Linked DNA regions of Rhinolophus ferrumequinum. The protein of the gene in region 2 purifies or fractionates together with the protein of the main gene of each other region. This does not show direct contact. Links are inferred from orthologs where the notes say so. Each region holds a gene or a part of one and is shown on either strand. Other genes may lie near its edges.

Region 1 (10,048 bases), on a different chromosome or scaffold from region 2:
TGGCAAATTTTATGTCACATATATTTTACCACTATAAAAAAGTGGCTCTGAATTTAAAAGAATCAAAAAGGAAAGGGGGAAGGCAGATCCCAGGACAGTAGTTTTTCAGCCAGGCCAGCAGAAACCGCCGGATCTAAGGATCCCCAGGGGCCCACACCTGCTCCCATGGAGCGCACTGTGTGCCGTGCCAGGCATGAGGGGACCCTGGGGACAGTTCTGGGCCTCAGCTCCAGGGACAGTTCCCTATGTGACGGCAACCAGCAGGCCAGACACAGGAGGGTAAGTGTCAGCCTGGCGAGGGCTGGTCAGCCCGCCCACTCGGCCCACCCCTGCTGCCCAGTCCCACAGAGAAAGCCTGAACACTACCAGCTTGGACCCTGAAGTTTCACACAGCCCCATGCAGTGGGTACCACTGGCATCATGTTTTACAGATGAAGAGCCTGAGGCACAGCAAGCTGAGTGACCTGCCAACCTCACACGGGCAGTCTGGCAGCTCGGCCCCTGGGCCCTGTCTCCAGGGCCTCTGAGGACAGAGTTCTGATGACCACCAAAGGCCTTGTGGGCAGTTGTGAGTACTGGTGGGGCCCTTGGCAGAATGGCACGGTGCGGTGGCCAGCGAGGGGCCCAGACGGGGAGGTCCAGCTCAGCCACACGCTGAGGCTCTGGGTCCAGGCCAGCCTGCAGGCCACCACCTCGCTATGCCTCTAGGGAGCCCTCTCTACCCGTCCCGGCCCAGACAGCCCCCTCTTAAGCTGCACGGTCCCAGCACACCCAGCACTGCTAGCGCCAGAGGGCAACAGACTTCCTGGGAGAGAAGCCTTCATCAGATTCTCCGAGGGACATGAGAGACCCCCAAAAGGCTAAACCACTCTCCTCCCTGAGCAAATCCTCGCTTCAGTTTAGCCACTAGAAAAATTACATCAAGGCAAACTGAAAGCACTCACACAGTGTATGTTGAATTAAATACTGACCAATAAAGCAAATAAAATACTCAGGAAGTAGTATCTCCCCACCTCCTCACAGGTGACGCCACCATGACAACCTCCAGGGGGTCCAAAGCAAGAGACAAAGGACATGTGACCTGGGCAGACTGATCACAACCCGAGGTTCCAGTGCCAGGTGGCTGCTGCTACCTCAAGAGCACGAGGCGAATACTACCAGGCAGGGTGAGCCAGTGGGCAGGCCAGTGGAGAGCTAACTGTCCCCTACTGGGTGACAGGCAAACTGGGACAAATTAGAAACCAAAGACTGGCCCCAGAGCCACACAGATAACCGGCCTGCTCGGGGCTCAAGACTGGGCAGAACTAATGTGGGCAAGGGTGCGCCCTGGTTGGCACATGCCCCACGTGGCTTAGAGGCACAGAGGTTCCCCACTTACCGGGGAAGGGCCAGCAGCCAGGTCTGCTCCCGGCTGGGGCTCTGGCCTGGATCGGGGCTGCCAGCCACCCTTCACGGGCAAATGAGCACCAGACACCGACACCCAACATCTCACACCACCTTCCGGCCTCCAACTGAATGAGGGTAGTAGGACTTGGAACCTCGGGGCGCTTTTAAAAGGGAACCTGGAGGCCTAGAACAGAACCTCTCATGTCCTTCACACAATGGCCTGTCCAAAGAACAACCTCCATCCGGGTCCCTCCTGACACTGGCTCCTGAACCCCAACTAGTTTTGCAGATGACGAAACAGGCTGAGAGCTAGCAAACTGCTTTCCAGAGCTAAAGAGAAAGCAGAGACCAGCCTGGCGCAGCGGGCGGGACCCTGGGCCGGCTCTTTGTGCAACCGCAGCTGCCTCTGCATGTCAGCACTTGGACCCGTGCTGTCCCTGGGACGGCCCTGCAGAGGGGGCCTGTCTCCAGCACACACACCACCACTTTCTGAGCAAATGTGTCAACAGGCCCCCAAAGGGAAGGGGCCGGACACAGCCCCTCACTCCCAACAGAGCCTCCCAGTTTTGAGAGTGGGCTAAGTGACCTCATAAGCCACAAATATCCAGTTTCGCTCAGGGCTTCTGTAACACTGAACATGGCACTGACTCTACCTCCCAGCACCCCTGCTCCCCCAGAGGCCAGCACCAGCCCTTAACTTGTCCCCTCTGCCCCCTTCCCCATCAGCTCTCACGTCTCTGAACCAAGGCGGGAGCAGCTAAATGCTAACCTGCCCAAGTCCTTGCCCAGCCTAAAATAGCTTCCACTGTCCTAACCCCACGGGGACATCACAGCCCCCAGCCTGTGCCCACTGAGAGAAGTACCCAACAATGGGGGAGTGGAAAAGCCAAATGTGCTTTATCCATCTGATGGAATATCGTTCAGCCGTGAAAAGGAATGGAGTGCTGACACGTGCTCCAAAGCGGATGCACCTCAAAACCGTAAAACTAAATAAGTGAAAAGGCCAGGAGAAAAGGTCACATAGCGTAGGAGTCCATGTAGATGAAATTCCAGAACAGACAGAAAGCCGACTGGTAAGCAGGGGCAATGGGAGCTACTATGTAATGGGAATGGAGCTTTACTTGGGGGTGATGAAAATGTTTTGGAACTTGATAAAAAATGGTCGTTGTACAACATTGTGAATCTACTAAACGCCACTGAATCGTACACTTGAAAATGGTTAATTTTATGTTATGTGTATGTCTTCTCAATTAAAAAAAAAAAAAAAAAAGGTTAGTTCAACACCTTTCACCTAGGACAGACCTGAATCTAGCATGTGTTTCCTATCCCCCCAACCAAAGTCTTCCAGAAGCTTCCATCGCCTTCTGGCTCACATCCAGACTCTGCAGCGTGATCTGGCCTCTTTCAACGGAGGAGACCACCTGGTCCCTGAGGACAGGGCTCTGGGACTGTGAGGGGGAACCCCTTGGGCCCCCCTCTCCCCTAGCTGTTTAGTCAGCTTCTTTCTCTACACAGAATGGCTGGCAGCAAAGGCTGGGGGCCTCATCTGTCATTCTATCCCCAGCACCTCACACAGGCGCCAAAGAGTAACATCAACCATAATAAGAGCTGGTACAGCGCCAGGCTCGTGTTACTCACTAAACTCATGGTAGGAAGTATTATATTATTAGCCCCATTTTACAGAAGAGAAAACTGAGGCACACAAAGGGAGAGTCAGCTGCCCAAGCTCCCCTCCCAGAGTAGGCAGCAAGGCGCAGATTAGACCCCCAGCCACCTGGGCTCTGTCCACACAGTTCAGCACCGGTCTCTGTGTCACAGCAAGAAATGAGTCAGATAGTAAACGAGATAACCAAGGTCACACAGAGAAGTACAATCCAGACTGTGTAATAACAGCTTCTAGACCTTCCAGACCAGAAAGATCAAGGACCCCGTTACACAACAGAAACTGCAGCTCTGCCACCACCAGTCCCTCACCCGGGACTGGGATGGTGCCAAGGGTTTCTCACACAGCATTTAATGCTCCCAACTGCCTGGGCTTGGGGGGGAACCAGGTGAGGATACTGGATGCAGAGAAGCTAAGTAAGTCGTCCAAAGTCAACCAGCTGCTGAGCATGTATGTAAACCAGGTTGGTCTGACCCCAAGCCCCCCCCCCCCACTTCAGCCCTGACGAGCCCCTGCCATAGGCAGGCAGCCATGCTTCGTCCTCACCTGACTGCACCCCCACACACACCCCCGCCCAACCAGTGTGCAAATTCTGGCAAATGCCTGAGCGGTGACACAGTGCTGCTGAAATTAGACGGGTTCCAAATACGACGGGATCTCCACAGCAAATGCTGGATCGTTTGGGTTGACTGGGGAAATTCTTGGATCCGAACGGGAGGTTACAGGCATGTGGGCCCTGCTTTGAAAAGCACAGAGTCCTTTGGGGGGGGGCTCTCTCAGTGGACTCCACACGGCATTTAGTTTACTCAACAGCCACCCGCTGGGCCCTCCCAGTGGGCCAGTCCTGGACAGGCTGGGCCTGGAGCAAGTGCTGTGGGGACAGAGGGGAGCGGCCTGGGCCATTCCCAGTACCGGGACCAGGAACAAAGGCACTTCCGTGGGCTCACAGCTTCAAATTGCAACAGGAAGCAATCAGGAAAAATAATGAGCTACCAACTTACTGGCTGCACTCCGGACGGATGCATAAATCGAACACAGAAATCAGGGACATACCATATCAAGAACAGCCCCAGGACTTGTCCATCCATTTTAGGCCTGGGTCACCCCATCAGCTGGTGCACTAAAACCCTCGTGCTGACATGCTTCCTAATGTTAAAATAATCAGCTCTATTTCTGCCTCACACACAACTGAACGCCACACACGATTCATCTTCTTAGGGGCTCGAACCACACAACGACAGGCATTCGCCTCCAGGAACCATCACCCCGAAAGGTACAGGAAATCCCAAACTGCAAGGAAGTGCAGATCAACAGAGCCGGCTAAGAAACCCCACCTTTAAAACAAACATCTTCCCAAAAAAAACCCTTTTGCCTCCATGTTCCAGGCATTTCCGGAAAGAAAAGGAGCAGCGTTGGCCTGAACTACCCAGATACTGTCATTGTTTTGTCGTCACCTTGTTTTGCTAGTATCAGACATGGCCGAGAAACGTAAACACGTTCCTGAGAGAGACAAATTTGGGGGGAAACCACTGACAGTCTCTAGGCTTGGGCTAGGAGGCAGGGGGACTTGAGGAAACCATGGCCTCTCTGCAACACCCCCCCCCCCCAAACCTCAGTGGAGGGGCCACAGCCCTGGGAATGTGACCACAGAGCCAGGCCAGTACACCTCGCTGCAATGTCCACACTGGAAATATCCAGAGAGACAGCTGTTTGTCTTGTTTGTCTTGAAGAGGCTCAGACAAAGGCACCCGAGGCCCCCTGCCCCCCCCAAAAAACGGCCACCAGCAGAACAGCAGCCCCAAGAGCACAGGACTTGCTGGCCGTGTCTACTTGGCCAGCCACACTGCAGAAAAACAACACTCACGTCAGAAGATAATGATTTAGGTAGCGAGAGACTTGCTTCAAAAACCACATGGCAATCTCCAAATTAAAAGAACATGTGTAGCGTTTCGCAGGCGCTTAGGTTTCCTGAGCCCTCCCGACCTCAACTCCACCCCTTGGGACACACCAAAAGTTGGAGAGAAAGGTCCCCAGCCCTCCATCTCCCCAAGGCTGTGCCCAACTGAGGCACCAGCACGCTGCCCCACCACGCCACGCTCTGGGACCAGGTCACCCCCGCGGTGGCCCCACACAGTCGGCCCCTGGGGTGGACACGGGCCGGGCGTCACTGTTTGGGGCCCCAGCGGCCAGACGTATCGTCCAGGCACCTGGCAGGTGTCAGTCCGTTTGGAAACCTACTGCGACGCAGATGAAAGGCCAGCGCAACAGGCCAGGCCGCCCCGCGCCCTGTCTCAGAACTTTTTCTGCAACTTAAATCAGTTCTCGGAGCTCGCAGGCCGGCTGCGCGGCCATCGGAAACAGGCTCGCCAAAGAGTTCCCAACGCAGGGCGGCCAGGCCTGTCTCCGGGCCGAAAGTCCCCGCTCGGTGCCTGCCCAGGGTCCCAGCACGGCCTCGCCCGCTGGCTTCACGCGGGCGCACTTCCGAGCGCGCCCCGGGGCCCGGGCAGGTGAGGACCCGCCCGCGCCGCGCCGCACCTGGCGGGGTCGGCGCCGCCTGCGCACCCTCCTCGCCGCCCCGGGACGCTCCGGACGGGCCCGGCGTCCGCGGGAGGGGCCCTGGCGGGCGAGACAAAGGGACCGCGCGCGGCCCCCGGGCAGCGGGGACGGCGGGGAGCAGCGGGGATCCGCGGCGCGCGCCCCAACTCGCCCCCAACTTGTAAAGTGGCTACCGCGCGCCGCGCACTTGGCCGCGGGCCGCCAGGGCGTCCGGGCCATTGTCCCTGCGGCCCGCGCCCACCTACCCGCGGCGGGGGCCAGGCTGCAGCAGAGTGCGAGCAGCAGCAGCGGCGGCGCCGGCCGGGGCGGCGCCGCCTCCATGTTATCCGGGGCCGGCCGGGCCCGCGCCGCGCTCACTCGGGCTCCATGGCGCGGCGCGGCGGCTCCTCGCGCGGCTCCGGCGCCTGCCGCCTCCCCCTCGGGCGCCGCGGACCAGGACGACGGGGGAGGAGGGAGGAGGCGCGGGAGCGGAAGCCGCGCCGCGTCTCCGCCCCCCGCCGCTGCCGCCCGCCCGCGCCCCCCGCGCCGGCCGCGCCCTCCCGCGGGCGCCCCCCGGAGCCGGCCGGCGGCGAGGCGGTCATTGCGCGCTCTCCCCACGGCCCTCCCTGCGCCCCCCGCCTCCCGCGGGGAAGGCCGCCCGGGCTCCTCCCGGCGCAGGGTCGGGCTCGGGGCTTTCACCCCGCAGGGCCCGGGGCCCGGAAGCAGGTGTGTCACCTGTAGGGCCGCAAGTACCTGGTTTTTACCGAGGGGGAAACTGAGGCACAGGGTTGTTGGGTTTTTTTTCGGGGAGGGGACATTGCCCCCGGACACACAGTGAAGCAGATTGGGGGCTGAAAGCCAGGGGCCCCGAGCCAGGTCTGTGCACTTCCCCGCGACCGCAGCCCCCACGGCAGGACCGGGTCGGGCGGCCAGGCGACACCTGTTCGCACTGGTGAGGTCACCCAGGAGGGCAGAGGACGACGGCGAATCGGCGCAGGGCGCGAACAGACTTGTAAGCGGATGAGAGAGTGAGGCAGTAGCTACACGGGCTGGGATTGGGGTGGGCCTAAGGTTTTATTTTTAAACTAAACGGACGCCCTCTACATTCATTGTGGTACAGACTCTGAGCGAAGACACGCTGGTCTTCTCAACATCCTTCTAAGCGGACTGAGCGAGAAAGCCCCTCTAGGATGGCAGACCTCATCTCTGACTCCGCCAAGCAGGCCCTGAGCTCCTCATCTTCCCAGCTCTGGGCCACCTGAGCGTCCAGCTTTGCCTGGACCCTCAGGGCACAGGAGGGACTTAGAGGGAGCACAGCCCCGGCTCTGGAAACCACGGGCCCCAACTCTGGCTCTGCAGCTTCCTAGAATCAGGTGTGCCCTTGGGCAGGTCTAAATATAACCTTCCCGGCACACTTTCCTCCCTTATAAAATAGGGAAGCAGTGCCTACCTTGCAGGTGCGAGAGAACTAGCGGTAAATCACCAAAAACTGATACTCACAGATGCGAATATTCTTCACGTACTTGTGACAACCTTACAAACCTAGTGGTCGGGCAGAACCTCTCTGTCCTGAGTGGGGCTGATATTCTAGGGAGGCAAGCAAAAACAAGAAGACAGATAAATTTAAAATTAAAAAAAAAAACCAAAATACCATTAACAGACTGAGGAATGCCATGAAAAATGAAGATTATTGTACTGCAATGTCTGGGGGAAGTCTGAGGTAGGGAGGTAGAGACGCCTGACAAAGCAGTAGGAGGAGCTAGCTGGAGCCAGTGCAGATCAGACCTGGACCCCAAGAGCAGTGGGGAGCCATCGTGGGTGTTGAGTAGCAAAACCCTTGCTGATTGCTCTCTCACACCCTGTGCCCAACCCTAGAAGCACATCCTGTTGGCTCTACTTTCAAAACAGATGCAGACTCCCGGCTCTTCTCATACCTGTGCTATCACTACCCTTGTTGGGGTCCCCTCTCACCTCCATGGGTCTTCTGCTTCTGCCTTGACCCCCTTCAGCCTAATCTCACAGCCAGAATGAGCCTGTTTAAACAAGTCAGATCACATCCCTTCTTTGCTCAAGAATCTTCTCTGGCTCCCATGTCAGCCAAAGGCTTTATGGCAACTACTGGGCCTGATCTGGCCACACCCTTCCCATTATCTCTCCAACCTCCTCTGCACCCTCCTTCCTCTCCCTCACCCTGCTCCAGACACAATGGCCTCCTCACTGGTCCTCAGACACACCGAGCACACTCTTGCCTCAGGGCCTTTGCACTTGCTGATCTCTCTGCTGGAACTGTTTTACCCCAGTTAGCCACATAGTTTATTTCCCCACATCTTCGGTTGCTCAGCCAGGCCTTCCCTGACCCGCCTTTGAAAATTGTAAACCACACCCCCTGGAACACGCACCCATGCTGCCTCTTCCTGCTGCATTTCTTCGCTTTACTTTTCTCCTTTGCACTGAGCGACATCTGACAGACTAAGTGTTTAAACTTACCTTTCTTCCGTCCAAGAATGGAAGCTCGATGAGAACAGAGACTGTCCTTTGTTTTGTTCCCTGTGTATCCCCTGAACCTAGACCAGGGCCTGGCACATAGTAGGTGCTTACAAAACGTTTGTTGAATGAATGAAGTGAAAACATCTGATTTACATTTATAAAAGGAGCACTCTGGCTGCCAAGTGGGAACAAGATTGTCAGGAGGGAAGAGGGAATGAGGGGACTGGGTACCATAGTAGCCGCCAGGAGAGATGGCAGCTTGGACTGGCAAGGGGTGGGGAGCTCAGGAATGGTGAGAAGGACCTGGATTTGGGATGCTTTAGGAAAAGCAAATGGGGCTCACTAAGGCCACTGGCTGTGGAGAAGAGGGGAAGGGGGCCCGAGGTGGCTCGCCATAGGAACTACGCTAGGTCTAAAGTTCAAGTCAAGTTTCTAAATCTGAGAAGGGATACTGAGGAGCTGAAGACCTTACGCTCAGTTATGCAGATGATTGAAAGTAAAATGATCCAAGAATACAAACAAACAAACATTGGGATTCTTTGTTCTGGAGGAGGAAGGTGGCAAGCTTGATTGTCAGAATGGGAGACTTCAATAAATAGAGAAGAGGGCATTTAAGTCAGGGGATGGCGGAGGCTGGCAGCAGCTCCTGGGGTGCCCTGGGGTTTCCTGTGCCAACTCTTGGGGTGTCAATTGTAGAGACCCCCCCACAGGAAAGGTACTGTGCCCCAGGTCTTCAGGCATCACAGCAATGACTCCATCCAAACTTTGAGAAAAGTCATTTGTAAAGAACAAATGAGAATGAGGTACTATTCTGCAGAATTCCTACATCACAAGGGCAGTAATCTTTACATTCTTCACTAATGTAAGAAGCAGCTGGAGAACGTGTTAGGCTTCCCAGAAGGCTGCCTGTCACAGCTCATCACGCCACGAAAGTTTCCTTAGGTCTCGCGTTTGGAAATGTTCACTCTCAATTTATTCCTCAGATGCAGGTTTCATCCCAGGGAAGTAACAGGGGCTCAGCACCTGTCAGATCTAATAGTTTCTGGGGACAAGGGCTCAATTGGGGTCCATTCAGGGCCCATCGAAAGATGCCACCTCAGCCCCGTGACATTTGGGGAAAGTGCCTTTTTGGTTTCCCTCCCATGCGGGAACATGCTGACTCTGGAGAGTTATTCTGGGCACGAGAGCCCTCCCTCCCGGCAGGCCTGGCGGCTGTGGACAGAGGTGTGCCTTAGGCTCCCAGCATTCCCGGCTCTCTGAACCACGAGCATCTTCCTGAGGGCAGCTCGGTGGAGGAGGGCAGAGGGAATGTCCACTGACCAGCCCATCCCTCAGATCCCAGAGGGCCTCCCCCTGCAACAGCACCACCTCCGAGCAACCTGCTCCAGGAGCAGGCAAGGGGAGGCAGCCACCAGCGCATGGTGGTGGGCAGTGCAAGGCTTAATTGGCAGTGGAGCCACGGCTCCTGTGGAGACAGCTGGGGTGTGAGGGACACGGGCTAAACTTCCCCTCTGAGCCTCAGTTTCCTCATTCATAAAATGGGAATATCTGCTCAACTGTTTATCTCTTAGTGCTGATGTGAACTTCATCCAAGAGAAGATTCATAAAAATGTTCTTTATACTTTGAAGCCCTGCATTCACGTGACTTGTGATTAGTGTGGGCCCACGATAGGGCACAAGAGCAAGTGTGGGTTAGGCAACCCCGCACACTTGCTCTTCTCTCTCCGATAGTTGGCATCCAGCCCTTAGTTTCTGTAGCCCTGAGCTTCCCTCCTCCTGATCTGTGGCTCGTCATGTGACTCGATCCTGGGGGAGCATTAATGCCACGTGACTGTCTGGTGCACCCAGCAGGGTTATTTTCAATACAGATTAAGAAGTTGATATTCAGGTTTGATATCCCTTTTTTAGCTCTTTAAAGACACCTATAGTGGGCTGAATAGTAGCCCCCAAACAGATATGTCCGCACCCTAATCCTGG
Region 2 (10,048 bases):
ACACCTGACACAGACTTGTTGATGATGATGGTGGCTTTGGGAGGGTTCATTGGGAGTTAAAGTTCAAAGTCATCACGGGCGGACCTCAGCTTCCTTTTGGGGGTAAGGAAGGTTCTGGGGGTGGGCTGGACTTGATTGAAAGCTTTGCAACTGATTATCCCTCCTTATGGCATTTAAAGAGTATCTCTTGAGTTTCAGCTAGCATCTGGCACTAAGAGAGAAGTGCAAGATATTGTCCTTGCTTGTGACAATCTTATATCCTCACCAGAGAGGCATAAAATTCATGTTTGGGTCAAAGCTTGGCTGCGCTTCCTGTGAGCTGGTCCTGAATTATCCTTGGCTTTGTGTCTATCCCATTACTCAGCAGGGTGTGGCCAGGTGAGGCCGGTGGTCCACGAATGAATGTCGAATCAGAGACTTAGGAACCAAAATAGAGGCATGGACAAAAGGGGCTGGACATCTGAGGCGCGAGGGATCAGTGGGGATTGGAACACTTCTGGGAGGGTCAGGGAAGAGATGACAAGGAACATGAACCCCAAAGAAAGAGCAAGAGTTGTTTGAGGCTGGGGAGCAAACTAGGGAGGTGGGGATCAGTACAGCATGTGGCACCTGGAGTCAGTAAGGAAGCTTGGGGAAGTGGAGGATGGGAGTTAAGCAGGCAAAAGCCTTATTTGTCAGGCTGAGAAGACTGAACTTGATGCTGGGCAAGGAGGAACTATTAAGGGATTTTGAGCAGGGGTGTGACACAATGAGAACCGTGTTTTTGGAACAGTGCGAAGGGCAGGCTGCTTGAGGGAGACCAGGCTGAGATTTATTACAATAGCAGAGTGAAGGAATGAGGTCTAGGTTTGGAGAGGAAGGGACGAACATGACTTTTCAAAGGACATAATTGTCACAAGGGCCACCATCGTGCAGTCAAAGGTGTCATAGTGACCCAAAGAAGGATGTTAACTGACAGAAATGACTGTGTGTGGTTGAGAAATGAGACCACATCCTCTCCATAACGACTCATTGTGTTTATTAACAATGCTTCTGGATTCTGAAAGAACAGACTGGTATTTCATAAAGCAATATTAACGTTGTCATTCTCTACAAGAAAAACTTTTGCATAAATAACTTAAATGAGAAAATAAATATGTAACTTAACTCTTTTTAAAAACCACGACTTTCATTCTTGTGGACAAATCCCACATGAAAGGATTGCAGAAAACAACCAGCCCAGCAGGCTTTCACATGGCATGTGCTTCTGTTTAACAACAACAAAAAAATTTTGAACAATTATAAACTACACAGAAAGTAAGAGGTGTCTGGAAATGATTTTCAAAAAGATTTTTGGATGGCAGCTATTAGGCTTTGCAGTTTCTCAGCATATGTACAGCACTTGTAATTTTTCCCCAATAATATCATTTTAATGTAAGATATGCCACCACACACGTAACAATAGTAAGAAGCAATTTTCTAGACAGAAATGTGTCCATGAGTTACGAAGAGGTGCCTCTGAAGGGATCTGCTTGCTGGTCTTTGAAAGGGTGGTGGCTGCTCCCTTGGGCCTGCAAGCCCAGTGTCCTGGGACCTTGAGCTTCTCTGCAGAAGGTGACTTTAAAATATGGCCACGGGGTGGGGGCGGGACACTGCTCTTTGGGAATAGGGGGGTGATTTCTTTTCCTCCCACCACCCTTGGGACCTTCTCCTTCTCTACCCCAATTAATGATGTTGCTTCTGCATCCTTTGAGATGGAAGGGTGGAGGTAGCCAAACATCTAGGGAAGCCAGCCTGGGAAACAACTCCGTGTCTTTCGGGAGTCTGTCAGGCACGAATAGACTCTTTTTTCCTGTTTGTTTTTCATCTTTGGCTGTCAGGTCACAGGATTACAACTCCGAATTCTGGACATGACCATGGTTCAATCCAACCTCTCTCCCTGCCCATTCAACAAGCACCAGAGCCCTTAGAATCTTATGACAGAAGATTGCCGGAGATCCTAATCCCACCCCCACCTGCATTTTACAAAGAGGAAATCGAAGTCCAGAAAGAGAAGACTGTAGTCCAAGTTCACCAGCAAATTAGTGGCAGAACCAGGACTAGAAACCCTATTCTCAGACCCCCGTCTTGTGTTCTTGGCACAGCGTGGCACTAAAGGCTTTACGACACGCAGAGAAGTGGATAGGGATCTTATGGAAATTTCTTAACCAGTCCCCAGACTTTTCTCACTCCCCACCGCTTCCTAAAACCCCGGGGCGGTGAAATGCTTCCTTTCCTGCCTCCTCTGAAGTGGGACCTGCAAAGGTAGGCGGCCCCGGTGGGCGGGGCCGCATGGCTCAGTGTCTGTGACTCTCCCTCCCCGGCCCTGCGGGACCCTCTCGGCGGGCGGACGGGGAGAGTGGGGCTTTGTTGGCACCCGGGATCCGCAGGGTCTGGCTACCTTCTGCGAAGCCAGGCAGGTCTCAGCTCCCTGCCCTGGGTTGCAGGCATTTAAAATGAAATACAAACAATCAAACCGCGCGCAGAGGGCAGAAACCTGCGGCGCCCGGATGGGGGGCGCCGGCTGGGGTGGCGCGGCGGGCAGGTGGCTCTAATAGGCGTTCTCCAGCTCGGCCTGGTTCGCTTTAACGCCCCGGGCGCGGGGCCTCGGCTTCCTGCCTTTCTGCGGCCGCGCAGCCTCGGGCCCGAAGTCCTTGAGCTCGGACTGGTTGTGGAAGCGGGTGAGGCGCTTGCACTTGCATGAGGCTACGAGGCGCACCTTGCGCGCGCGCGGGGACGCGCCGCCGGGACACAGCAGCTGCACCCGCTGCGCGCGGTAGCGATCCGGGATGCAGCGGAAGTCGGGCCCGTTCGGGCGCCACCACTTGCCGCGGCCGATGGCGTTGGGCAGCAGGCGCGCGGGTCCGCACTGGCCCGAGCACACCAGCTCCGTGACCGGCTTCGCGCTGCGACATGGCCCGTCCGTCACGTAGCGGGTGAAGTGCAGCTCGCGGCAGCTGTACTCGGACACGTCTGCGGAGAGAGGCGCGCGTGAGGGCGGCGGCTCCCTCCAAGCCTTAGGCCTTACACCCCTCCATCCCCCTCACCCCGCCTTCCCCAAACCTGCCTTTCTCCAGACAGGGTTCTTTTGCCTCTGGGCATCTATTACGGGAAGGGCCCAGCCGGTGGGAAGCTCTCCAGCCCACCCTCTCCTCCTAAAACTTTGAAGCCAAGTTTTGGTGGTTTTTTTTTTTTTTTTTTTTTTTGGTTTTTGGTTTTTGGTTTTTGGTATTTTTGCAACCTATCTGTAAAATGGGTTGTCTTGAGGATTCCGTTCATTTATCCATCACATATGTAATGCAGGGGACACCACCCGCACATAGTAAAAGCTGGAAGTGTTGGCTGTTACTATGTATTATTATTGTTCCTCTTCGCCAGACTTCGGTCACACCTGTGCCACAGGGTCCCTGGCCATGGCAGGGTAGGTACTAGCCACACCGTCTGCATGTCTCTGGCTTCTCCCAAATTCCTTTTCTGGCCACTTGGGAGGGGCGGTTAGGGGATGGAGACAGGGGTAGGGATTAATTGAAGGTGATAAATCAGGGCAGCTGCTGCTAAGGAGAAGGATGGAAGAGAGGTGGAGAGGAGGACAAGTCATTAGACTTGAAAGGAGCCAAAGGCAAACCCCCTCATTATCACTGAGGACAGACAGGGAAAAGCACTTGCCCAAAAGGCAGAGCTGGGTCTCCTGACTCTACTTCCCTGGGGCCCCAGCACCTCTTGGCTCCCACACAGGTGGAAGCTGTGTGCCTAAGCAACCATGGGAGGCTGGGCTGGGGAGTGAGGGGAGGGCGGGGCGGAGGGCTGCTTTTTACTATAGTTACTTCCCTAGCAGAAGGGGACCAAGCTCTGCCGGAAAACCTACAGGCTCAACTGCCACAAACATTTATTAAGCACCTGCTGTGTACCAGGCACCCTGCTGGACACGTCTCTTGCTCTGTGCCATTTGAATAGACACTTGATGGTGGCACAGGCTTGTTTCTTGGGTGGGGTAAGACTGAGCTCTGAGACCTGGCTTAGGCCCCTAAAGTCACCTTGATGGTGTCTTCTACTATGGGTTTAGATGAGCGGGAGCTTTTTAAACAGCTGATCCTCGTGTGGGCATCTGTCCACCCCCAAGAGTCTTATGGGACCCATGTGACACAAAGGGATGAAAAATAATCCTAAGACCAAAACCGGAGAGGGGGCAGAGAGAGCCAGACACTGGAGAGCAAACACAGCAGGGGAGATGTGGAGCTTGCCTTCCTCCTGTGGCTGGCCTTCTGGTTTCTGGGTTGGTTTGGCATCCTCACTCCTGCTCCCAGGCTGCAGGGGTGGTGTGTGGGGGTGGCTTGTTTGCCCAGGGAAGAAGGCTTTTGGGCTTTCCAAGAATAGTGCCCCTAGGTCAGGCACTTCCTCTTCAGAGGGTGACTTTGTTTTGAGCAAGTGGCTTCCTTGGGGCTTGTGGCCTCTCATGGGAGCTCAGGGATGTGGACATCTCATAGGTGGGTCCCCTAGAGCCCATGGATTGAGCTTAGTTGACCTTCTCTGGGGGTGGGGGAAGTAGGGGGAGGGCACGCCCGCCCTCCAGGTAGGAAGACCCAAGGGACCCCCAGGCTCCTCTGGTTTTGCTCTTGGCAGAGCCCCATGTTCCCAGCTAGTTGGGAGGAAGGGACGGATGGAATGTAGGAGCCTGGGCAGTGGGCTCCTCTCCCCTCTGGACAATGGCCAGAGGGCACTGAGGCCCTTAGTCTGAAGTGTCATCCCAGCCTCCACCCCCAGCCATTCCTGCCAGCTGCAGAGCCAGCTGTGCACACTGCCCCACAGGCTTCTCTGTGGGCACCTGATCAGGAACCCAGGTGTACCCTCCACTGGGGCCATTGACTTTTCAGTAGGGTCAGGCTCCCTCCCCAGAAATGAGGCAAGGTCGAATATGAGGTGGGGACCCAGGACAGATGGTGCCACCTGTGTCTACTCCCTGCACAGAGGATGCTGCCTCCCCTCCAAGGTCCAGCTGCCACCCAGAGGCTAAAACTGTGCCTACACTCTCATTCCTTCAAGTGCCAGCTCACCGGGCAGACCATGGGCAGGGGGAATTGATGGAGTGCTTTTCTGCCATCCCTTTCCCACTGCTTTAGAGGGATTTGCTCTGGCTCTTGGTCCCCAACACTCCACCCATAATCCCCTACCTGGGCTGTCTTGGAATTGGATCAAAAGGGGTTCAAATCTCAGTTCTTCTACTCACTACCAGATTACTTCATTTCTGGAACCTCAGTTTCTTCACCTTCAAATTGGGAGTTCACCTTAGGGGGCTTCCACGTGGTGGGTCCCTGGGGGACAGCCCATGTACAGCTCACAGAGAGCATCTGGCCTCCAGCAGGTGCTCATAGATACGAGGCTCCCTTGCCTTGTTCCCTCCTCAGTGGTGCCGACAGCTGGACCAGGCTCCTGTAGTCTCAGGAAGGGATCCCTTGAAAGCTTTCCCAGCCTCGGAGCCTGTCCCAATGCTGTACCCTCACCACCTCAGCCTCCATCCTGCCCCCTGCCAGTCTCAAGTCACTGCACTCAGATTCCCAGGCTCTGCTGGCAGGTCATCCTTCTCCTGCTTCCAGACAAGACTGTCCCTCCACCGTTGCTGGCAGTGGCTAACAGTCTACCCTAGTCTTCAACACGTCCCAAAGAGAACCCTCCCATGAGAGGACCCCTATGCTTAAAGTGCTCTCCTCCACCCCATACCTTTGTTCTCAAAGGGGTGGTGGGGAGGCCTTCCGCCGTTCTCCGCCCGGTTCATGGTCTTGTTGTTCTCCAATTCTGGCGGGGCCTCAGGGTACTCGCCCAGCTCAGGGATGATTTCTGTGGCATCATTCTTGAAGGCCTGCCATCCCTGGGCCTCCACCGCACGGAAGGCTGCGTGCACCAACAGGCAGACGAGACACAGGGCAAGAGAGGGCTGCATGGTGCCAGCCGGAGGAGGGCACTTGGCCTTCCAGTAGCACAAGCTCCAGTCCCCAGCCCAGACACGTTTGCCTTTTTAAAGCCCCCTCTGCCTAGTGCCAGCCAATGACAGGCTGGGGCAGTGCTGGTCCCATGCTTTCCTCAGCCCAGGGGGAGGGAAAGGGGTGTGCTCAGAACAAACCCGCTACAAAGACTTCTCCTCAAGGGCAGCAAACTCCCAAATTGCTGCTGGTGCTCCCAGGTGACCCAGAGAGAGGGGTGTGTGTGTGAGGCAAGCCTGCTCTCCAGCGCCTCCCACAAGCAGACGGCTGTGGTTTTCAGATATCAAAATGAATCCCGGCTCTTAATCTCTACCTTCCTGGGGCCCTCAGGCTTTCTCAAAACAAACTTTGGACAAGCTTAACAAAGAAAACTGCAGCTCTGAATCCTCCATAGGGCTGAGCCCTACTGATCCCATTTCTAAGGCCAAGTTCATTTGTCACATGAAAAAATGGCCCTAGGGGGTGTCAATTTGGCCCCCCACAGACCCAAATAGAGGCAGAAGCATGCTTTTAAAGAAATCTCATTGGTCCCAAGTCCATGAGGCTCAGCATTGATTGTTCTGATCAAAAAAGCCCTGCTTGGCATCCTCTGGAAGGCAAGAGGGAAAACTGAGGGCCACAGCAAGGGTGCCCACTTGGGCAAGGAGATGGGGATTCCCATTATAAGTAGCCAGGATGAGCAAGTCAACGGGAACTGGTGCTGGAGCTCAAGGAGGAAACTGCATTTCAAGCTCCTCAGGGATCCCGCACACGGTGACAGGCACTTTTTGGCCAGGACACTCACTGTGGCTCGCAGGCGCATGTGCTAAAGACAGTTATTTCTTTGGCCGGGCTGCGGGTAGGAGTAGAGAGCACAAAATCCATTTTCTTAGCAAAAGCCAAGGCCAACATTTTTAGTGCTGACGTGTTTTTTTTCTGTCTCCCAGCCCATTTCATTTTTCAAAACCAGCGTTGAGTCCTATATGGAAAATCTGATTGATGCATACCACGGGGAGGATTCCACGAAGCCACCCCAGGTCCAGCCAGCCACAAAGAAACCAAAAGGAATTGCTACTTCAGCCCTGGAGCAGAATGAGGGGCCTGGGAGGGGCAGAGGTGCAGGGGCAGGAAGGTTCACACCTGAGGTGCAGGAAAAGAAAGGAGGGCCAGCGGAAGCTTTCATTGCAGACAGATTGAGGAGGTGCAGCCACTCCGGCCCTGAAGGAGCTGGGAAGAGGGCTGTGGCCCAGGTCCCCTTGGTATTTTCACTGGGCAATGAATCAGCATGCCCCACCTGCAGAGCCTCTGCCAGGCCTCTGCCACCTGCCTGGACTTGTAAGTCACTGTGTCCATCTGTGGCCATCTGTCCCTCCTTCTTTCCATCATCCATCACTCGACACATGAATGCAGCTGCTCTGACAGTTTTACAAGCCAGACAGAAGCCCCTGCAGGAAGGGCCCTCTCTGATACCTGCTTCCTAAGTCAGTTTCCTTCAGGGCAGACGAAAACAGCTGTGGCCATTGTTGGGGGTGATCTATCTCTCCCAACAGAGGCTGTGTGTTGTGAGAAGCTGGCCCTCCAGAACCCCCTCTGCCTGTCTGTGACCCACCAGTCTCCTTTTCCCTTGTTCTGGAATGTGGACTGTTAACCCTATTGAGGCCAGACAACTGCCTCCTTGCCCTGGGCTTCGGAGAAGACAGTTCTGCTGCCTGGATTCCTTGAGCTGGCGGGATTGATGCTCGAGCCCCTCCTGCTGTTGAGAGCTGCTGGCCCATCCAAAGGAAACAGAGACCGTGGGGACCATCCTTGGAACACTTCTGCCACCTGCTGGAAACAGAAGGAGGAGCCAGGGACTAGGAGTGGAGAGACTCAGGATTTTGTTTATTTCATGTCATTATCTTATTTGAAACTGAAGTAATGTTAAAATGAGAGAAAAAGAAGAATCCAGTGGACTTGAATCTCTAAATTATCTACATCTTTTTGAATTATTCTCTGCCAACGTATAGCCATACTTTCCACAGAATGGCTCAGAGAGAACCTGCTATGATGCCATCTGCTTTTTCACATAACACTAATTCAACTTTAGCTTTACTCAGTCCACAAGTTTATCGCTGTTCAGAGCTCAGCAATACTCCCGCACTTAAACTCCCGGGGTTTTAGCTGACTTCTGTTGTGGGTAGTTTATTTTCAGTGTTCCCCTATCCTCAGTAGGGATGCTATGAACATCCTGTACAAAGTAATTTTTTGTATTAAACTTTTTATTTTGAGATAATTGCAAATTTACATGCACTTGTAAGGAATGATACAGAGACAATTCCATGTACCGTTTCCCAGTTTCTCAATGGTAACATCTTGCAAAACTATAGTGAAACATCCTAATCAGGATATTGGCATTGATACACTCCACCAATCAATCGTATTCAGATTTCCCCCATTTTACTTGTACGTGAGTATGTTTAGTTATATGAAACTTTATCACATGTGCAGGGTCAAGTAGCCACCATCACAGCCAAGATAAAGAACAACTCTGTGGCCACAAAGATTCTCTTGTTGCCTTTTTATAACTAGAATCACCCTCCGCCCATGCCAACCCTTTTCACCGCTAACCCACGGTACCACTGATCTGTTCTCCATTTCTACAGTTTTGTCATTTCAGAAATGTTATATAAAGGAATCAACTAGTATGTAACCTTTTAGGATTAACTTTTGTCACTCAGCATGATTCCCTGGAAATTCATCCAAGTTGTTGCATGTACTATCCACAATGTATTCTTTTTTATTGCCCAGTAGTATTCCACAAAGTAATTTTTTTTTCAAATGTTAAAGTATTTTCCAGAAGTGAATGCTAGTCCAAAAGGGTAAACAGTTTGCTACATGTTGCAGGGTTGTTCTCCAGAAATCCCAGCCAGGTCCCCAATCTGACCAGTGACATATAAGTGGGCATTAGTTTGCTGGGGCTGCTGGAACAAAGTATCACACACTGGGGGCTTAAACAACAGAAATGTATTGTCTCACAGTTCTGGAAGCTGGGACTCTGAGGTCAGAGTGTTGGCATGGTTGGTTGCTTCTGAGAGCGGTGAGGAAGTCTGTTCCATGCCTCTCCCCTAGCTTCTGGTGGTTTGCTGGCCATGTTTGGCATTCCTTGGCCTGTCAAGAAGCATCACCCTGATCCATGCCTTCATCTTGACACAGTGTTCCCTCGGTGTGCATGTCCATGTCCTAATTCCCCCTTTTTATAAGGACATCAGTCATACTGGGGCTGACTCTAATGATCTTACCGTAATTACCCTGTTTCCCCAAAAATAAGACCTAGCCGGACAATCAGCTCTAATGGGTCTTTTGTAGCAAAAATTAATATAAGACCCAGGTCATAATATAATATAATATAATATAATATAATATAATATAATATAATATAATATAATATAATATAATATAATATAATATAATATAATATAATATAATATAATATAATATAATATAATATATACGGGGTCTTACATTAATGTTTGCTCCAAAAGATGCATTAGAGCTGATTGTCCAGCTAGGTCTTCTTTTCGGGGAAACATGGTCCCTCTATAATAACCTTACTTCAAATAAGGCCCCATTCTGAGGTACTAGGTGTTAGGATTTGACATATGAATTTTGGAGGGACACAAATCAAACCATAACCGCATGTTTCTCCACCAGGCTGCCAACACGGGTTTTGAGCTAAGATTTTTTAAATTGAATTTAATATTGTAATACCATACCTAAATTCCTAGTAAGGCTGTTTTTTCTATATGATGATTTACTGGGTATTGCTTCTACCACACTGCTTGTTCATACGTCCACTTGCTAAACATTTAATGAAACAAGACCTCCTGCCGGGTGCTATGAACTGACACGCTCCCCCTCCAGGAGCTCCTGTAACAGGGAAGAAATAAATTCTTCAACCAAATAACTCCATAGAAAGTGATTAGTGCCACTGAAAAAAGGTTCAGAGGCTTTTTTTTTTTTTTTAAGGGACAAAGTGTTACGGGCCTTCAGAGGAGAGAACACTCCCTTCCCCCTAAGGTGGATCTGGGATCCTCATA

The links.
Region 1: the proteins of SOST (region 2) and LRP5 purify together in Homo sapiens (affinity purification with mass spectrometry; 3 studies listed by BioGRID and IntAct, counting the BioPlex papers as one, with this or other methods). This does not show direct contact. The link is inferred for Rhinolophus ferrumequinum from reciprocal best matches to the Homo sapiens genes SOST and LRP5.

Annotation. Positions count from the first base shown.
Region 1 is NC_046294.1:4,386,043-4,396,090, forward strand, and holds the start of LRP5 (low-density lipoprotein receptor-related protein 5), read right to left. Parts: upstream 6,042-10,048; 5' UTR 5,927-6,041; coding exon 5,851-5,926; intron 1-5,850. UniProt on the Homo sapiens protein: Acts as a coreceptor with members of the frizzled family of seven-transmembrane spanning receptors to transduce signal by Wnt proteins.
Region 2 is NC_046304.1:38,981,339-38,991,386, forward strand, and holds SOST (sclerostin), read right to left. Parts: upstream 6,023-10,048; 5' UTR 5,954-6,022; coding exon 5,734-5,953; intron 2,992-5,733; coding exon 2,570-2,991; 3' UTR 1,002-2,569; downstream 1-1,001. UniProt on the Homo sapiens protein: Negative regulator of bone growth that acts through inhibition of Wnt signaling and bone formation.